2 linked regions of the Notamacropus eugenii genome follow. The protein of the gene in region 1 interacts with the protein of each later gene in a biochemical or structural test. Links are inferred from orthologs where the notes say so. Each region holds a gene or a part of one and is shown in the gene's direction. Other genes may lie near its edges.

The links.
Region 2: the proteins of HSP90AA1 (region 1) and SUGT1 form a complex in vitro, tested with the Homo sapiens proteins (4 studies listed by BioGRID, with this or other methods). The link is inferred for Notamacropus eugenii from reciprocal best matches to the Homo sapiens genes HSP90AA1 and SUGT1.

The regions. Positions count from the first base shown.
Region 1 is NC_092872.1:351,894,216-351,902,194, forward strand, and holds the start of HSP90AA1 (heat shock protein HSP 90-alpha), read left to right. Parts: upstream 1-4,823; 5' UTR 4,824-5,333; intron 5,334-6,486; coding exon 6,487-6,648; intron 6,649-6,745; coding exon 6,746-7,112; intron 7,113-7,774; coding exon 7,775-7,908; intron 7,909-7,979. UniProt on the Homo sapiens protein: Molecular chaperone that promotes the maturation, structural maintenance and proper regulation of specific target proteins involved for instance in cell cycle control and signal transduction.
Region 2 is NC_092877.1:291,034,848-291,042,543, reverse strand, and holds the start of SUGT1 (protein SGT1 homolog), read left to right. Parts: upstream 1-4,288; 5' UTR 4,289-4,541; coding exon 4,542-4,573; intron 4,574-4,677; coding exon 4,678-4,735; intron 4,736-5,805; exon of another isoform or gene 5,806-5,870; coding exon of another isoform or gene 5,871-5,891; intron 5,892-6,472; exon of another isoform or gene 6,473-6,508; coding exon of another isoform or gene 6,509-6,529; intron 6,530-7,696. UniProt on the Homo sapiens protein: May play a role in ubiquitination and subsequent proteasomal degradation of target proteins.

The DNA.
Region 1 (7,979 bases):
TTTAAAAAGACTGGAAAGGTAGGAAGAAGTCAGATTACAAAGGACTTTAAAGTAAAACAAGATTTTACATTTGATCTTGGAGGTGAGAGAGAGTTACTAGAGTTTATCCGTTAGGGAAGGGATAACACAGTTAAACCTTGACTTTAGAAAGCTGAGTGGGAAGATAAATGTATTGTTAGAGTCTTAAGAAAGCCTTAAAAGGGGCCAGGGATTCTAAGAGGCAGAAGTTTGGAAGGAACAGCATTCCAGGCATGGAGAATAGTTAATACAAAGGCATGGTGACAGTAGACAGAGTTTTCTTTTCCAAGGAAAAGAAAGTTGGCCAGTTTGGCTAAACAGTAGAATACCTTATTTTACCCCATAATCGTTGGTTTTTCGTTTGTTTTCAGTCCAAAAACTGGTTTATAAGCTTTCATCATGTAATCATCACATGGTATAATTCTGTTTGTCAAGATGCTTAAAAGGTAAACAGAGCAGAAATGTATTCACCTGTGGCATATGGATATTTATTTATCTCTTGCACATTGGGAGCCACAAGCCTAGAATTCTCAGTGCACGTGCATTGTCAGTATATTTCAGAAAGTCTATTTTTGCTGTTTGTTTAGAACACTGTAGCACTAAGGGTATAGTCACTCAACCCAATGAAGAGCCCTACGTGAAAGGGGAGTGGTTGGTCAGGCAAAACTGCCATGAGTAAGTCACATGATAGCTAAACTGTATAGTTCATCTGCCAACGATATATTAATGTGTGAAGCATTTCTTTCTGATTATGGGTTTAATCTTGCACCAAAAACAGTTTAATAATAAATGATTTTTAAGTAATACCAGCACAAATTTTTTAAAGCTTCACATAATGGTCACACCCCACTTTTTTTGCAAAAATATTTGGCATAAAATCTGCAACAATGATGTGGTAAAATACAGAACATGAAGCAGACTGGAATGTAATAAAACTGGAAAGGGCCAAGTTGTAAAGAACTTTAAATTCTAAACAGAGGGCTTTATATTTTATTCTAGAGATAACTGGGAGCTGCTAGTGCTTGTTTAGGACAGAAAAGTGATCTGATCTGATCTCTGCTTTGCGAAAATCATTTTGGGGGTAGTGGGGAGGATGGATTGAAGGGCGAGACAAGGCAGGAAGATCAGTTAAATTAATACTGCAGTGGTACAATTGAAAGGTCCTAAAGTAGTGTAGTGGTTATGCAAATGGAGAAAAGGAATGAAAGATATTGTAGAGAATGAAATGACAAAATTTGGCAACTTGTTGAATGTGTGGAGTAGGAAAAAGATGGCAATGAGTTTTCAAACCTAGGTGACTCTTAAAAAATACAATAAATTCAGAAGAAAGGTGCAGATAGGGTGATAATAAGTTCTGCTTAGGATATACTGAACTTAAGATGCCTATGGGACATCCAGTTCAAAATGTCCAATGAGCAGTTGGGGATGTGGGACTGGAGAGACTAGGGCCAGATAAACAGATCTAGAAATCATTTGCAAAAGGATGGTAATTGAACTAATGAGAGCTGAAGAGATCACCTAGTGAGAGATTATAAAGAGAAAGGAGGCCAAGACAGACCCTGGGGGAAAACCCATAGTCAGTGGGTGTGACCTGAATGAAGATCCAACCAAAGAGAAGTAGTCTGACTGGTAGATGTAGCTAGTAAGACTAGAATCATGAAAACTCAGACAGGCAAATTCATAAAAGCAAAAGACGATCCCACCCTAGAGGTACATGAGTTTGTCTAATGGGAGAGACAAACAATTACTTACAAACAAGGTATATACTGGATTAATAGGAATAATCAACTAGCAGCTAGATGGCTCAGTGGATGAAATGCAGGGGTCTGGGGTCCAGAAGACCTGATTTCAAATTTGGCTTTAGGCATCACTAGCTGTGTGACCCAGGGCTAGTCACTCAAGGAAAAGACAAACCACACCAATATCTTTACCAAGAAAACCCCACAGAAAGTAGGGTCCATGGGATCATGAAGAGTTAGACATACCTGAACAATTAAAAACAACACTAAAGAGAGGAAAGAATTAAGAGGGAGTGGGAAAGATGCCTATAGAATCCTTTTGGGATTTCAGCTGAGACTTAAAGGAAGCCAAGGGAGACAAGAGGCAGATGTGAGGAAGGAAGGACATTCCAGGCAAGGAGGACAGTCAGTGAAAATGGCCAGAGTCCAGGGATAGAACGTTTTGTTCAAGGAACAGTAAGAAGGCCAGTGTTACAGAGTACATAGTGGAGGAGAAGAAGGGGTGGAAGGGTAAGAGGTAAGGAGGTTGGAAAGGTCAGGGGACATTATGAAGTATTTTCAATGCCAGACAGGATTTTATATTTCATCCTGAAAGTGATAGGGAGTTACTGATGTGCTAGCAAATGTTTAACAACCAAGCTTTCTGAAAATACAAGCTGTAATTTTAATCTGCTTTTTTATAATTTTCTCCATCACTTTCTTAAGTCTAAATAATCAACAAAACAATAAGCCAAGGCCTGAGTGCAATGTTTGCTGATTTCTAAGGTTTAACTGCCTCACTGAAAATTTAACAAGTGGCTTCAGCATTCTCCTGAATCAGGGGTACATGTATGGAATTAGCCTTTGGAGGCAGAAAGGTTACCTCCTCCCTAGAGACTGTAGCGAAGGAGACAGTGGAAAATAATGTCAGCAACTATGCTGGTTGGGCCACAGCCTAATGTGGAAGTATGGGAATATCAGGGAGGAAAGAGGCTGGAACAGACGGCACGGCTGTGAGTCTTATGCTAGGATAATTTTTAAAAAAAAAGGAGGGGTGAGAAAGAGGGATGTACTGAGAGAAGGGGGAGGAGAAAAGTAGAATAGAGAAAAATTTCTCACATAAAACAGGCAAAAGTAAGAGCTTTTATAGGGGAGAGAGAAGGGGGGTGCAATGGCTGAACCTCTCTTGTCAGAGTTGGTTCAAAGAAGGAAGAATATATATACAGTTGTATATAAATGTAACTTATTCAATAGAGAAATAAGAGGAAAAGGGGATAAAAGATATAGGAGAGGGAGATGATAAAAGGGAGGCAAAACAGACTTTTGAGGAGGGACAAGATAGAAAGATAAGGATAAATGGAAGAAAACACGATGGAAGAGATACATAGCACTTGTAACTGTGAATGGGAATGGGATGAGCTAACCCATAATGGATCAGAAAACAGAATCCAACCATTTGTCCGGTTTATGAGAGATTTGAAATGTAAAGGCAACACAAAGTTAAAATAAAGGGCTGGAAGGGAATCTCTTATGCTTTAGCCGAAATAAATGAGGTGGGGTAGCAATCATGATCTCAAAGCAAAAGCCAAATAGACCTAATTAAGAGAAGAAATCTGGGAAACTCCATTTTCCTAAAAGGTACTATAAACAAGGATGTAAAAAAATGACAGCAAGTTTCTTTGATAAAGCTCTCATTTCCCAGACATATAGAGAAGGGAATCAAATGTATAAAATAAGAGCCATCCCCCAATTGATCAATTTTCATAAGAAGAAATCAAAGCTATCTATAGTCTTATAAAAAATGTTCTGAACCGCTATTGATCAGGGAAATGCGAAATAGAACAACTCTGGGGTAGCACTCCCTATCTCTCGGAAAGGACAAGTGATGTGGGAGATGAGGGAAAATAGGCACATGAAGGAGCTGCTGGTGGAGTGCTGAACTGGTCCAACCATCTGGAGCTGTGCCCAGGGAGCTACAAAACTGGGCATCCTCTGATCCGGTGCTAGGTCTGTATCCCAAAAAGATCACAGAGAAGGGAAAAAGCCCTGTCTGCACAGCAGCTCTTTTTGGGGGGGGTCGTCAGGCAGGAAAGGCTGAACAAGTGGTGGCACCGGATTGTGATGGAGCACTGCGGGGCTGCGGGAAATGAGGAGGGGGATGAGTGAGCACTGGGGGAGGATGGCACCGTGGCAGCGATGTTCTGATCCCATCGATCCAACCCCCGAGGCCATGCCGAAGGACTCCCGGTGAGAACATGCCACCCGTCTCCGGAGAGAACGGACGGACGCCGTGCCAACTGAAGCACCCTCCTCTCCCCTTATTTTAGTGGGGCATGGCTAATGCAGAAATGGTTTGCGTGATTTCTCACCAATATTGTTTGCTTATTCAGGGGGTAGAGGAGGGAGAGAATCTGGAGCTCAAAAGAATGTCAAAATAAATAATATTTTTTAAAAATGAAGGATTTTGTATTAAATTTTTTAGACGTGTTGTCTTAGATGCCAGCTGGGCATCCAAGTGGAAACATTCATCCGCTGGCAGTGGAGTCTGGGGGCCGCTGGGGAGGGCCGCTGCACGGAGGCGGTAACTGGAGACGGGGGAGTGGGTCAGATCTCCCGGAGTGTGGAGACTCGGCCTGGTGCAACGCCCGTGTTTACAAGGCCGGGGGCAGGAGGAGGAGGAGAAGGAGGAGGGGGAGGAGGGGGAGGAGGGGGAGGAGGGGGAGGAGCAGGGCCGAAGCTGACCGAGGGATCCTAGTCAGGTAGTTAGAAGACGATGCCGCGGAGCACCCAGACTGAGGGCTTGGGGCGAGTGCGTGCCTTTTCTGGGCCTCAGTTTCCTCGTCTGTAAAAAGGGGGGAGGGGAGGAACACTCGCAGGTCTAACCCTATGAAAGAAAGACGCGTGAGCAGAAGCGGGACAAATCTTGCTGCGTAAGAGCAAGACTGCTCCGACGGCGGGGTGGGGGCGGTCGGTGGCGAAGAAGGCAAGACGATTAGCGGGGAGGCCATGGCAACAGCGCAGGAGCCCGGCGCGGGCCCCGACGCAGGCAGCAGCAGCCCGGGCAGGCCGTTGTGCGCACGCGCCCCTGGCCCCCTCCCCCCGCCCCCCGCGCTTGGCAGCTGTGTCCGCGCGCAATCGGTTGGGGGTTGGGTGAGTGGGCCGCAGAGGAGTGGGGGGGGAGGAGAGGGGAGATGGAAGCACGCTAAACCCGCACCCCCCTCCCCAGCCCAGCTTCCCTTCTCCACCGCCTCCTCCGTAGCCCGCAGTGGGGGAGGAGAGCGAAGAGGGAAAGGAAGCGGGAGGGGTAGAGAGAGAGGAGCAGAGAGAAAGAAAGCAGGGCCTGGGCGGGGGCGGGAGGAGGAGCCTCGCCGCGGGGCGGGGGCCGCGAGCCTGTGCGCACGCGCGAGGGCCGCGGCGGTTGGGGAGGGCTCGAGAACCCTCTTCCGGAAGGTTCCGGAGGCTTCTGGAAAAGGCGCTGCTGAGGCGGGGAGTGCCCGACTCTATATAAGGGGCGGGCGGGGGCGGCCGCGCGCCAGTTTGCTGCTCTCCCGTCTCGCTGCCGGCTGAAGCCTTGGGGCTCCTGCTCTCTCTGCCAAGGTAAGGTTACCCCCCCCCCCCCCCCACCCCGGCGGGCCGCGGCTCCCGCAGCGTGGACCTGGGCGTGGGCTCACCTGCCCTTCCCGCAGCCGCGGCTCGGGGGACCGGGAGGAGGCGGGAAGCTGCCCCGGCTTCGGCGCCCCCGAGGGTGGGGGGGAGGCTCCTCCCTGGCTCCCTCCTTGCCCGAAGGGCCCTGGGGCCAGGTCTTGAGGCGCCCCCCCAATTTTCGTTCCCCCGCCGCTTTTACCCACCCTTCCCGAGAAGTGGACGAGGCGAGCGCCCCTAAAAAACCCGGGACTGGGAGAGGGGAAATAATGATGGGGGTTCGGCCCCCCCCATTCCGAGGAGGGTGCCTGGCGTGGGGGGGTGAGGAGCCCGTGGCGCGCCGGCGCCCCCGCCTGCCCCCGGGGCTGCTCTGCCCGGCGGGCGGGGCACCTGCGTCGGAGCCCGAGGGTGGGGGGGGCTGGGGGTACCCCCAAACTCAAATCTTCGTAAGCGAGTGGGGGATTTGAGACTTTGTGCACTGCCCGTTTTGCCCACCGATCTCCTTGGGCGATGCGTAAGGAGAGGGGCTTGGCGAGGCTAAGAAGAGCTTCGTAGGAGGCGTGCTGTGGGCCTCTTTCGTCGATTTTTTTTTAAACGTTTTCTTTTTCGATTCTAAGCCCCGTATGTTGTAAGCTCTGTGAAATGGGAAACTTAGTTTTTACCTTTTCCTCGCTATCCCCAGCGTCTAATTACCAATGCTTTAAACGTTACTCGTGTTGGGATTGAATAGGAGTGAATTTTTGAGCATCGTTTCAGAGTTCAGCTTTGTGCCTCAGTCCTCTGCCTTTGTAGAGGACGGCTTATCCTCTTAATGAGCTGAGCCTGGTGGCGTTAATCCGGCTACGGAGGTGGTGGTAGTCTCTTCAATAATTAAAGGATGAGAAGCAATTGAATCAGTCGGTGGCCCCGGTTTTTAAAGTGTTCCCCTTGAAGCATGAATTAACTCACATAATGACGTGATTCCAAGTGAATTAGTCTCATTTTTTTTCTACCGTAGCCCTAATTTTAGATCCATTAAATCTGTTAGGAACCCTCACGTAAAAACGGGTTGAAATTTTAAAAATCTTTAATTGATATTGCTTGACTAACTGATAACAATGTTCCATAGATGCCTGAGGAAACGCAGACCCAGGACCAACCCATGGAGGAGGAGGAAGTGGAGACTTTTGCCTTTCAGGCAGAAATTGCTCAGTTGATGTCTTTAATCATTAATACATTCTACTCTAATAAAGAGATCTTTCTGAGAGAGCTGATTTCAAATTCATCTGATGTAAGTTTTTTCTTTGTGTTACTGAAATTGAATTTAATTCCAGTATAGCTGTTTTAATTCATGATTAAAATTTTTAAACGTGTTTTTCTTGGTGTAGGCCCTGGACAAAATCAGGTATGAGAGTCTGACAGATCCAAGTAAACTAGACTCTGGGAAAGAGCTGAACATCAGCATCATTCCAAACAAAGATGATCGCACCCTAACCATTGTAGATACTGGTATTGGAATGACCAAAGCTGATTTAATCAACAATCTTGGTACAATAGCAAAGTCCGGAACCAAAGCTTTTATGGAAGCATTACAGGCTGGTGCAGATATCTCCATGATTGGTCAGTTTGGTGTTGGTTTTTATTCTGCCTATCTGGTGGCTGAGAAGGTGACGGTCATCACCAAACATAACGATGATGAACAGTATGCCTGGGAGTCTTCAGCAGGAGGGTCGTTCACCGTTAGGACTGATGTAGGTATGTGCATAGTGAGACCTCGCTTTTGTACAATTAAAGCATTTTCTATGCAGAGAGGGAGAGGGAAAGTATTTTGGTACAGTGGAAGAGGGAGGGAGTGGAAAGCCCCGTTTGAAACTGACCAGGGGCACAGTAACTACACATTATTCTCAGCTGTGAAATGAGGGCCTTGGTTGAGCTAGGTAGCTTTTGAATTTGCTTCTGGTTCTAGATACACAAGTTCCTATGAATGGTAGCCTGAGAAATAAAACCCAGGGTAGTTTTATAACATGAAAGAATAGGATATAGGCTCAACAAAATTAGTATAATTATTCTTTAAGAACTACCTTGATCTGTATAGTTCTTTATTGTAAGTTCAGCACTACTGCTTGTCATTTTAAACATAAAATGAGAAGGAAACATTTGTTAGAAAATTTGTAGTTAATCTTCAAAGATAAAATTACAATAAATAAGCATTCTGAGCATCACGTTGAATGAATTTCTTGGTTGAATAGAACTATGAGGTATTGTTTCAGAGGTATGGAAAGGATTTTCAAAAAATCATTAGTATTCTCTATTAAATTGGTTTCTTAGTTCCCATTTATGTTTGAGGTTAGAGATTTCAGATGAAATTACAAATCAGAGGAGTCTCCCACATATACTTTTTCCCTTTCCTCTTCTAGGTGAACCTATGGGTCGTGGAACAAAGGTAATTTTGCATTTGAAAGAGGACCAAACTGAGTACTTGGAGGAACGAAGAATAAAGGAAATTGTGAAGAAGCATTCGCAGTTTATTGGCTATCCAATTACACTTTTTGTAAGTTTGAAATAATGCAATTCTGAATTCAGCTCATCAGTTAGGTAATCCTTAAAATTTAGGAAAGGTTG
Region 2 (7,696 bases), on another chromosome or scaffold:
CCCTTTCTGATTCCATGTTATGATAGTTTTTATTTCCTATGTAAATATGTTAGTTAAATGTAAGGCAGCAGTGAGTTTATATAGAAACTATGTTCATTCCACTTGTATAAAGTCTATCTCATGAATTTTTAAAATTGATTTCAGTTGCTCATCTGCTTCCCACTGTTAACATTGTGTGCCACAAAGAATTGGTATGTAAAATGTAAAGAAAAAAAGAGAAACTCAGTCTTCAATCTGGGCTGCTTTGCAAGTAGTACCTGCAGGGGCATTCCAGGGCTCCGCTAGAGTGCTTTAGTCTGGACTTCAACTCTGTGTGACCTTGGGCACATCAATTAACCATTCTTTGTTTCAATTTCTTCATCTGGGGAATTAGGTGTTCTTTAAAGCTGTGGCCGGTTGGCAAATGATGTAATTTCCACACTCCCATAGGACGAAAAAATTGCTATTATCTGTTAACATGTTTTCAAGTTGAACTCTAGCTCTAAATATTCTGATTTCAATAGTCTCATGCTAAACATTTTTATTACACCATTTAAAACGTCAAGTTACTGTAAATAAATTATGCCTGAGGAAAAAATCCAATGTCACAGTAGTTCTTGATCAGCATTTTTTGCCAAATATGTATGTTTTACCTGGAGATTTCTTTAACTCCTTAGACTACTGAGTGGCATTTAGTAAATGATGGCCATGGTTTACTAAATGATATATACTAGTGGTCTGAATAAACAGGGATACCGTTCCTAAGTGCCTACTTAATTTTTATTGAAAAAATTTAGTTTTGGGTCAATCTGGCTCACTTGTCAATAGCTTATAAAAACTTTTCTGTTCCTGATTTTTATGTAATGGGAATGGGGGGTGGGGGGTGGGAATTTTATACATATATATGTGTATATACATACACGTGCACATGCTGACACACATAAATGCATACATATCCAGGCTTTTGATGGAGTAGTTTTAGAATACTTTTTCAGCTGTAAATATTGTACATTTAATTTCACAAGAAAAAAATAAAGTTTTCAGCAAATTTATTTCCTAGTATAGAGATTTTTATAGATGAAAAATCATTGGTTAGAGGCCTAATGTTATGTATTCATATTATTACAGAGTGAATTTGTATTTAAAGACAAATTTTTGAAATTCCTAAATCTTTTGTATTTTAATTGGTTTATTATTGAATAAATAATGTGAAAAGTTCAAGTATTCTTGTTTGTTTTTAGGGCAGGATATATAGTTTTTAATTTACATTGGAGAATGTTTCTAATATAAAATTTATACCCAGTAAGTTATTAAGCAGAGTACCTTGTTAACATACCAAATAAAAAGGATTACATATCTCATACAATGATTACAATAGGTACTGAAATCAATGATTCTGGATAGTGAAATACAAGTGTCTTTTATAATGATGCAAAATACCTTTTTACCTAACAGTAAGTAGTCTGCTGTTTAAGGCCATCTGTTTGCCAGTCTGCTTGCTCATCTTCATCTCCATTATTTCTTTCAGCAAAATAATATTCCATCACATCCATAATTTTTTTTAGCCATTTCCCAACTGGACACTCTCTCAGATTCCAACTCTTGAGCATCCATAGGTTAAAATGTATTTTTTTTCTTGTTTAGTTACTGGTTTTATTTCAGAATTGTCTGATTAACACTACGATAAACATCAGGCACGTTGAAGGATTAGTAGAAGAACCATTAGATTTACTAAAAGATGGACTGCTTTGACAGGCAGCCTGAGCATGCGGGGTAAAAAGACCTAGCAATTATGAAGGTTTTTAAGAATAACTCTTTGCTCCTACGGGCCTGCCTTGCAGCCAAAATGAAATAAAACTGGGCACTAGTGCTGCGAGCACAGGACCGAGAGACAAACAGGGCTAAGGAGAGCGGAATCTCCCTTGGGATTCACACCTTACCCCAAATACACAGTGAAACGGACCCAACCGAAAACAATGTGCATTTACTTCTGTTGACAATTCCTTGGGAAGTCTGGGCTCACGTGATCGCTAAGGCTCCACGTGAAACTCAGCAGGCGGCTGACGGTCGTTTCCACCCCACGTCCCCAAAAGTTCTGGGCAAGTTTAATCGCGTCGTAAGGCGCCCTCCAAACGGCCTCGTTCATTTTGGGCAATTAAAGATTAAACTCTCACTTGGACTCTGGAGATCCCCTGTACCTCCACGCCACCAGTAACGGGGTGTGTGCCCGCGGTGGGGGATGGGGAGAAAAGACCACGCAAGCCCACGCTTCTCGCCACCCTCCAGGCACACCGGCCCATCTTAGGATCGACTCGGAGCGGGAAGGGATCGTAAAACTGTCCCCCCGATTTAGGGATAAAATCCAGCCAAGGAAGAAACAGAAACGGGCCTCGACCCGAGGATCTCTGCCTCCCAAGCAAGATTCAGATCGCCCTCCCCTGCTGCTTTACTTTTTTTTTGTTTCCTTTGCCCCCATTAAAATGCGAAGGATCGGCCATCGGCCAATCGCTGCTCCGACGTCTCTGGAAAGTCGGAGACAGAAGAAAGCCGGGGTAAGAAACGGAAACTGGACCTCGGAGAAGACTAGCAGGGAAAGGGCGCAGAGGAAACCGGAAGCTTCGTGCTTAATACCCGGAAGTCAAAACTCCCACCGCCCTCTACTCCGCCAGGTCCCGGAGGTACAGTCGTTCTCGGGCCTGTTGCTCGGGAAAACGCGAGATCGTGGAATGGTGACGCGACACGCCAGACGACGTCCTGGCGCGTTCTATGCGCCATGACGTAAGGATGGCGGCTGTGAGGCCGGAAGTAGCGCGTGTCCTCTGATAACAGCACGTTGTGCTGAAGGCTGCACTTCACGTGTGTGCATGTGTGCAGGTACCTGCCTTCCTGCCTGCTACTTTGACTGCTTGTGTTTGTGTCCGCCAGTCAGCCTGCTTCTCTGTCTAAGGGTTTGCCGGCTTGTCTATTTCTCTGCCTCCTTGCCCATCCACCGTTTGTATCTCTGTCTCTATTCCCCCCTCCGCCCCTCCCTCCCTCCCGAGCCCCTCCCTCCCTCCCGAGCCCCTCCCTCCCCTCGCGAGCCCCTCCCTCCCCTCGCGAGCCCCTCCCTCCCTCACGAGCCCCTCCCTCCCTCCCTCACGAGCCCCTCCCTCCCCTCACGGGCCCCTCCCTCCCCTTACGAGCCAGCAGCGTGACCCTCGGCAAACCCGCGTCTGTGTCAGTTTCCTCAGTTGTTAAATAGGAGTCATAAAAACACCTACCTTCCAGGGTTGTTGTGAGGATCAAATGAGATGTTTGTAAAGCGCTTGTCACAGAACGACTACGAAATAAATGCTTGTTCCCTCCTTCCCTTTGGTCTTTCTGTTGAGCTTTAGGGGTGCTGGGACCCCCGTGATTTCCACACCCAGTCCTCAAAGCCTCGCCTCCATCCTCTCCACGTCTGTCTCTTAGAATTATTTCCCTTCAAGGCTTAGCTAAGTCCCCGTCCATAAAAGGCCTTTTCCGAACCCCGGTAGCCACTCAACTGGTATTGGTCACTTTCCTGCAAGGGTCTGCTTGCTCCACTCCTCCAAAATACTCATTTGTGCATATTTTACATTTGCTCCTGCTGTGTGCTATTTCCTCAGAGAACATATAAGGAAGGTCCTTGTAGGCAACGAGCACAAAGTTTGGCACATAGTAGGTTTCAAATGTCTACTGATTAACTTGTCTTGCCCAAAGTAGGATACAGACCTATGTCTTCCTGACTCCACGCCCACACTCTTCACAGTATACCATCAGTTCTTACAGGCACAATAAAATGGCATCACAGCTTTTCAGCCTTTCCCATTCTTCAGGAACTCAATATTAACAGGGTTTTTTGTTTTGTTTTGTTTTTGCCAGCACGAAAAGTATCGCTACCGATATTTTGGTGCCTTTTTCCTGTCTGACCTCCTGGCGTAGCGGGATCAAAGGATGTGTGTACTTTCGCCCTTATTTAAGCATCAATTCAAGTTACTACCGATTGCGCCAATCCACAGCGGCCACAATCACGGATTAGTGTGGCTGTTTTGTCTCCTCCCCCTCCCTGCATCTCGCGTCTGCCGAAACTTGGAAGTTTTAATCTTCAGCTCTCCTCCTAAGAGTAATAATTTGGAATGTTTTTTTCATACGGCTGTTGATTTATTCCGGCTACGGTTTATAGCCTTTGACTTCTGATCTATGGGAGAGGCCTACTAGACTTGTATACTCACCACAGTTAAAGGAGGGACTTTCCGAAAATCGCGGGGGAGGGGAGAGAGCTAGGCTGCCGTAGCGGAGCGGAGGGGGCGGAGCTAGGAGGGAGGCGGGGCGGTGCCGGGGAGAGGAGGAGGCCGCCGCGTGGGTAGCCCCGGGGGTTGCCTTGGTAACACGGCGGGAGGCGGGGCTCCCGCGGGGCCAGTCCTCCGGCTTCCCGTCAGTCCCCGCGCCTGCTCCTCCGTTCCCCTCTTCCCCTCACGCTAGCTCGGCTCCTCCGGACGGAAGCTCGCAGGGTGTTTCTCCAGAAGTTTCCCCCCTGGGCGGCGGCGGAGACAGCGCGAATTATGGCGGCGGCGGGACCCGCAACGGCGTCGGGGTGAGTGGCTCCCGGCCCCGGGGGGTGGTTCTGGTCCCCTTCCCCCTCTTCTCCTGTGCTCTCCACTCCGCTCACCGCCGCTGACGTGATTGTCTCCCCGGCAGGTTGTTCCCGCCCCTGTCGGACGGGCAGATCGACGAGGACCCCCAGGCGGCCGCCGAGGTGAGAGAAGCCCCCTCCGGCCCTCCCCGCGGGGGGCTTCAGACCCCCCCCCCCCGCTGACAGGTGTCAGGAGAAAGTCCTGTCCCACGGCGGAGTCGGGGGGCCCCCGGCCCCTGCCCTGCGCCCTGGACCCCGCGATTGTATCTTGTGCGGTGCTCGTCCGCTTTGTGAGAGTCCTCCCCTACCTTTCTAATGGAGCGGAGTCCCCACCGACGGGACAGCCGGGGTTCCCGTTTGTGGTTCAGATAACCTGTAGGTGGGATCTCTGCCAAGTGTCCTGGCGTGGGGAGGACGTGGGTTGGTGTGAAGTCTGCGCTCTGTGCGAGTCACCGGCGGGCTCCGAGTGTCACGTTTCCTCCCAGGTTACTGTTGCTCAGGGATCCAGACCTCCCGTTGCTAGTGTTGGGGCTTGTGTAAATCGCTTTTCTGGGACGTTGCCTTCCTCTGTAAAACTGGGAGGAAAGAACTTTGTGAAGCTGCAAGTACTCAGGGAATTATGGGTTATGATATCTTTTTCGGTGGAAAACGTTATATTTTTTCCCATTTCATGTAAAAATAATTTTTAACATTTTTTTTTTAATTTTAGTTTTCAATTCTCTCCTTCCCTTTTCCATTCCTTGAGAAAGCAAGTAATTTCTTATAGATTATACGTGTGTTAGGCAGGCAAAACATTTTTCCATGTTAGCTATGTTGTGAAACAGATCACACCAAAAAACCCAAGAAAAATAAAGTAAAAAAAGGATGCTTTGATCTACATTCAGATTCCATAGGTTCTTTGTGGAGGTGGATTGTCTAGGATCATTATGGTGCTGAGAATAGTTAAGTCATTCACAGTGGATCATCGCATAATATTGCTGTTACTGTGTGCAATGTTCTTTTGGTTCTCACTTTACTTTTCATCAGTTCATGTACGTCTCAGGTTTTTCACAACCGTGCTGCTCCTCATTTCTGAGAGCATAATAGTATTCCATCACAATCATGTATTACAACTTGTTCAGCCATTCCCCAGTCGATGGGCACCTTTTCAATTTCCAGTTCTTTGCCACCACAAAAAGAGCTGCTGTAAATATTTTTGTACCTATAGGTTCTTTCTCCCCTCTTTTTCTTTTAATCTCAATGGGATATAGACCTAGTAATGCTGTTGCTGGGTCAAAAGGTATGTATGCTATTTCTCAGCCAATACCAGAATGTTTTAAATGATTACTACTTTGTAATCCAATTTGAGATCTGCTACTGCTAGGCTACCTTCACTTATTTTTTCATTGATTCCCTTGATAATATTTAATCTTTTGTTCTCCCAGATAAATTTTGTCATTTTTTTATCTCTGTAAAGTAATTTTTTTGTAGGTTGATTGGTATGGCACTTTAATTGGTATGGCAAATTAATTTAGGCAGGATTGCTATTTTTATCATATTCACTTGGTCTACCCATGAGCAATTAATATTTCTCCAATTTTTGAGATCTGACTTTATTTGTGTGTTTTGTAGGTTATTATTTTTAGTATTAAGTTGTACATAAATGAAGGCTTTATGTTACTATAAGTAATTACTGTGATTACAGTTTTGTAGTGCTTCAAGGTTTATGATAAAGTACTTTTTGCGGTAATGGTTTTACAAGAAAATAGAGTAAGTTTGATTAAATATTAGATTCAACATTTGTCTGTTTAAAAAAATTTGACTAGATGTGAATATTGTGCACTGAAATCCCTGATATATGTATGTGCTTGATTTTTTCAGTGGTTGATATTCAGTGGAATAAACTGAAAGTACTTTATGAAACCAACTCTTTATGCAGTAAGTTTTTAATTTTTGTTCTGAAAAGCCTGGAAGATTTCATAGGAAGTATGCTTTTATACTGTCATAAACACTAGAAATTCCTTTAGATACAGTAGCTCATTTTATGTTTGGTGATTGAGGTAAAATTCTTATGAATGTTTACCATAGAATAGTCTGCAAATGTAAATCTAAATCACAGAATCTCAGATGTAGAAAGGAGCTCAGAGGTTGTCTAGTCCCTCTGGTCCCTGAACATACTTGACTGCATCCTATAATAGTGAAGTATTTTTTTTCTCTTGGAAGATCTCTGGTCCTGAAGCACTCACTGTCTTCTAAAGCAGCTTATTCTACTCTTGTTCAGCTTTAAATGTTAAGAAGTTTTCCCTTACATCTAGCCAAATCTCTCTTTGTAACTTCGTGTTGCTCCTGGTTTTTTTCCTTTTGGGGCCATACTGAACAAGTCTGAATGCTCTTCCATGAGAAAGACATGCAGCTATTAATATGGCTCCATAAGTCTTCATTTTTAACTGACAAAGTTTCTGGACCTTTCACCAGTTGGTATGTCTTTCCCTGTTATGTCTTTAAAATGTGACATTGAATACTGATTTCAGTATTCCAGTTATACTTCTTATCAGACCAAGATATAGCAAGATGTAATTTGCTTTATTTAGGACATTGTGCTAATATTAATGGAATCTAAGATTTTTTTGTTTTTTTTTGGCAGCCAAGTCACATTCTTGACACATAAAATGTAAGCCCTTAGAGAGCATGGATTGTTTAGTTTTTTTCCTATGTATCACCAACTCCTACCATGATTCCTGGCACTTAGTAGGAGCTTAATACATTTTTATTGAATGAATGAATTGACAGTGTCCACAGAAAAGTAAAAGTTTTTACACATAAACTATTGCTTTAACTATGCCTTATTTTTGTTAAAGCAGTTAATTATTTGAACCTAAGTGTAAGATTTTACGTTTTTCCATATAAAATTTTTTCTTGCTTCTTTGAAGAAAGTTTCTTCGTTGGTGTTTCAACTTTTTCTTGAGTAGTGACATTGTCATACTGTATGTTATTTATGCGTACCAAATTTGTGTCATCTGAAGATTGATAAGAAGCCTACATTGTTTTTGCCCATGTCTGATAAAAATAACAGATGGGACAGAATCATGGAGAGATTCCTGAGAG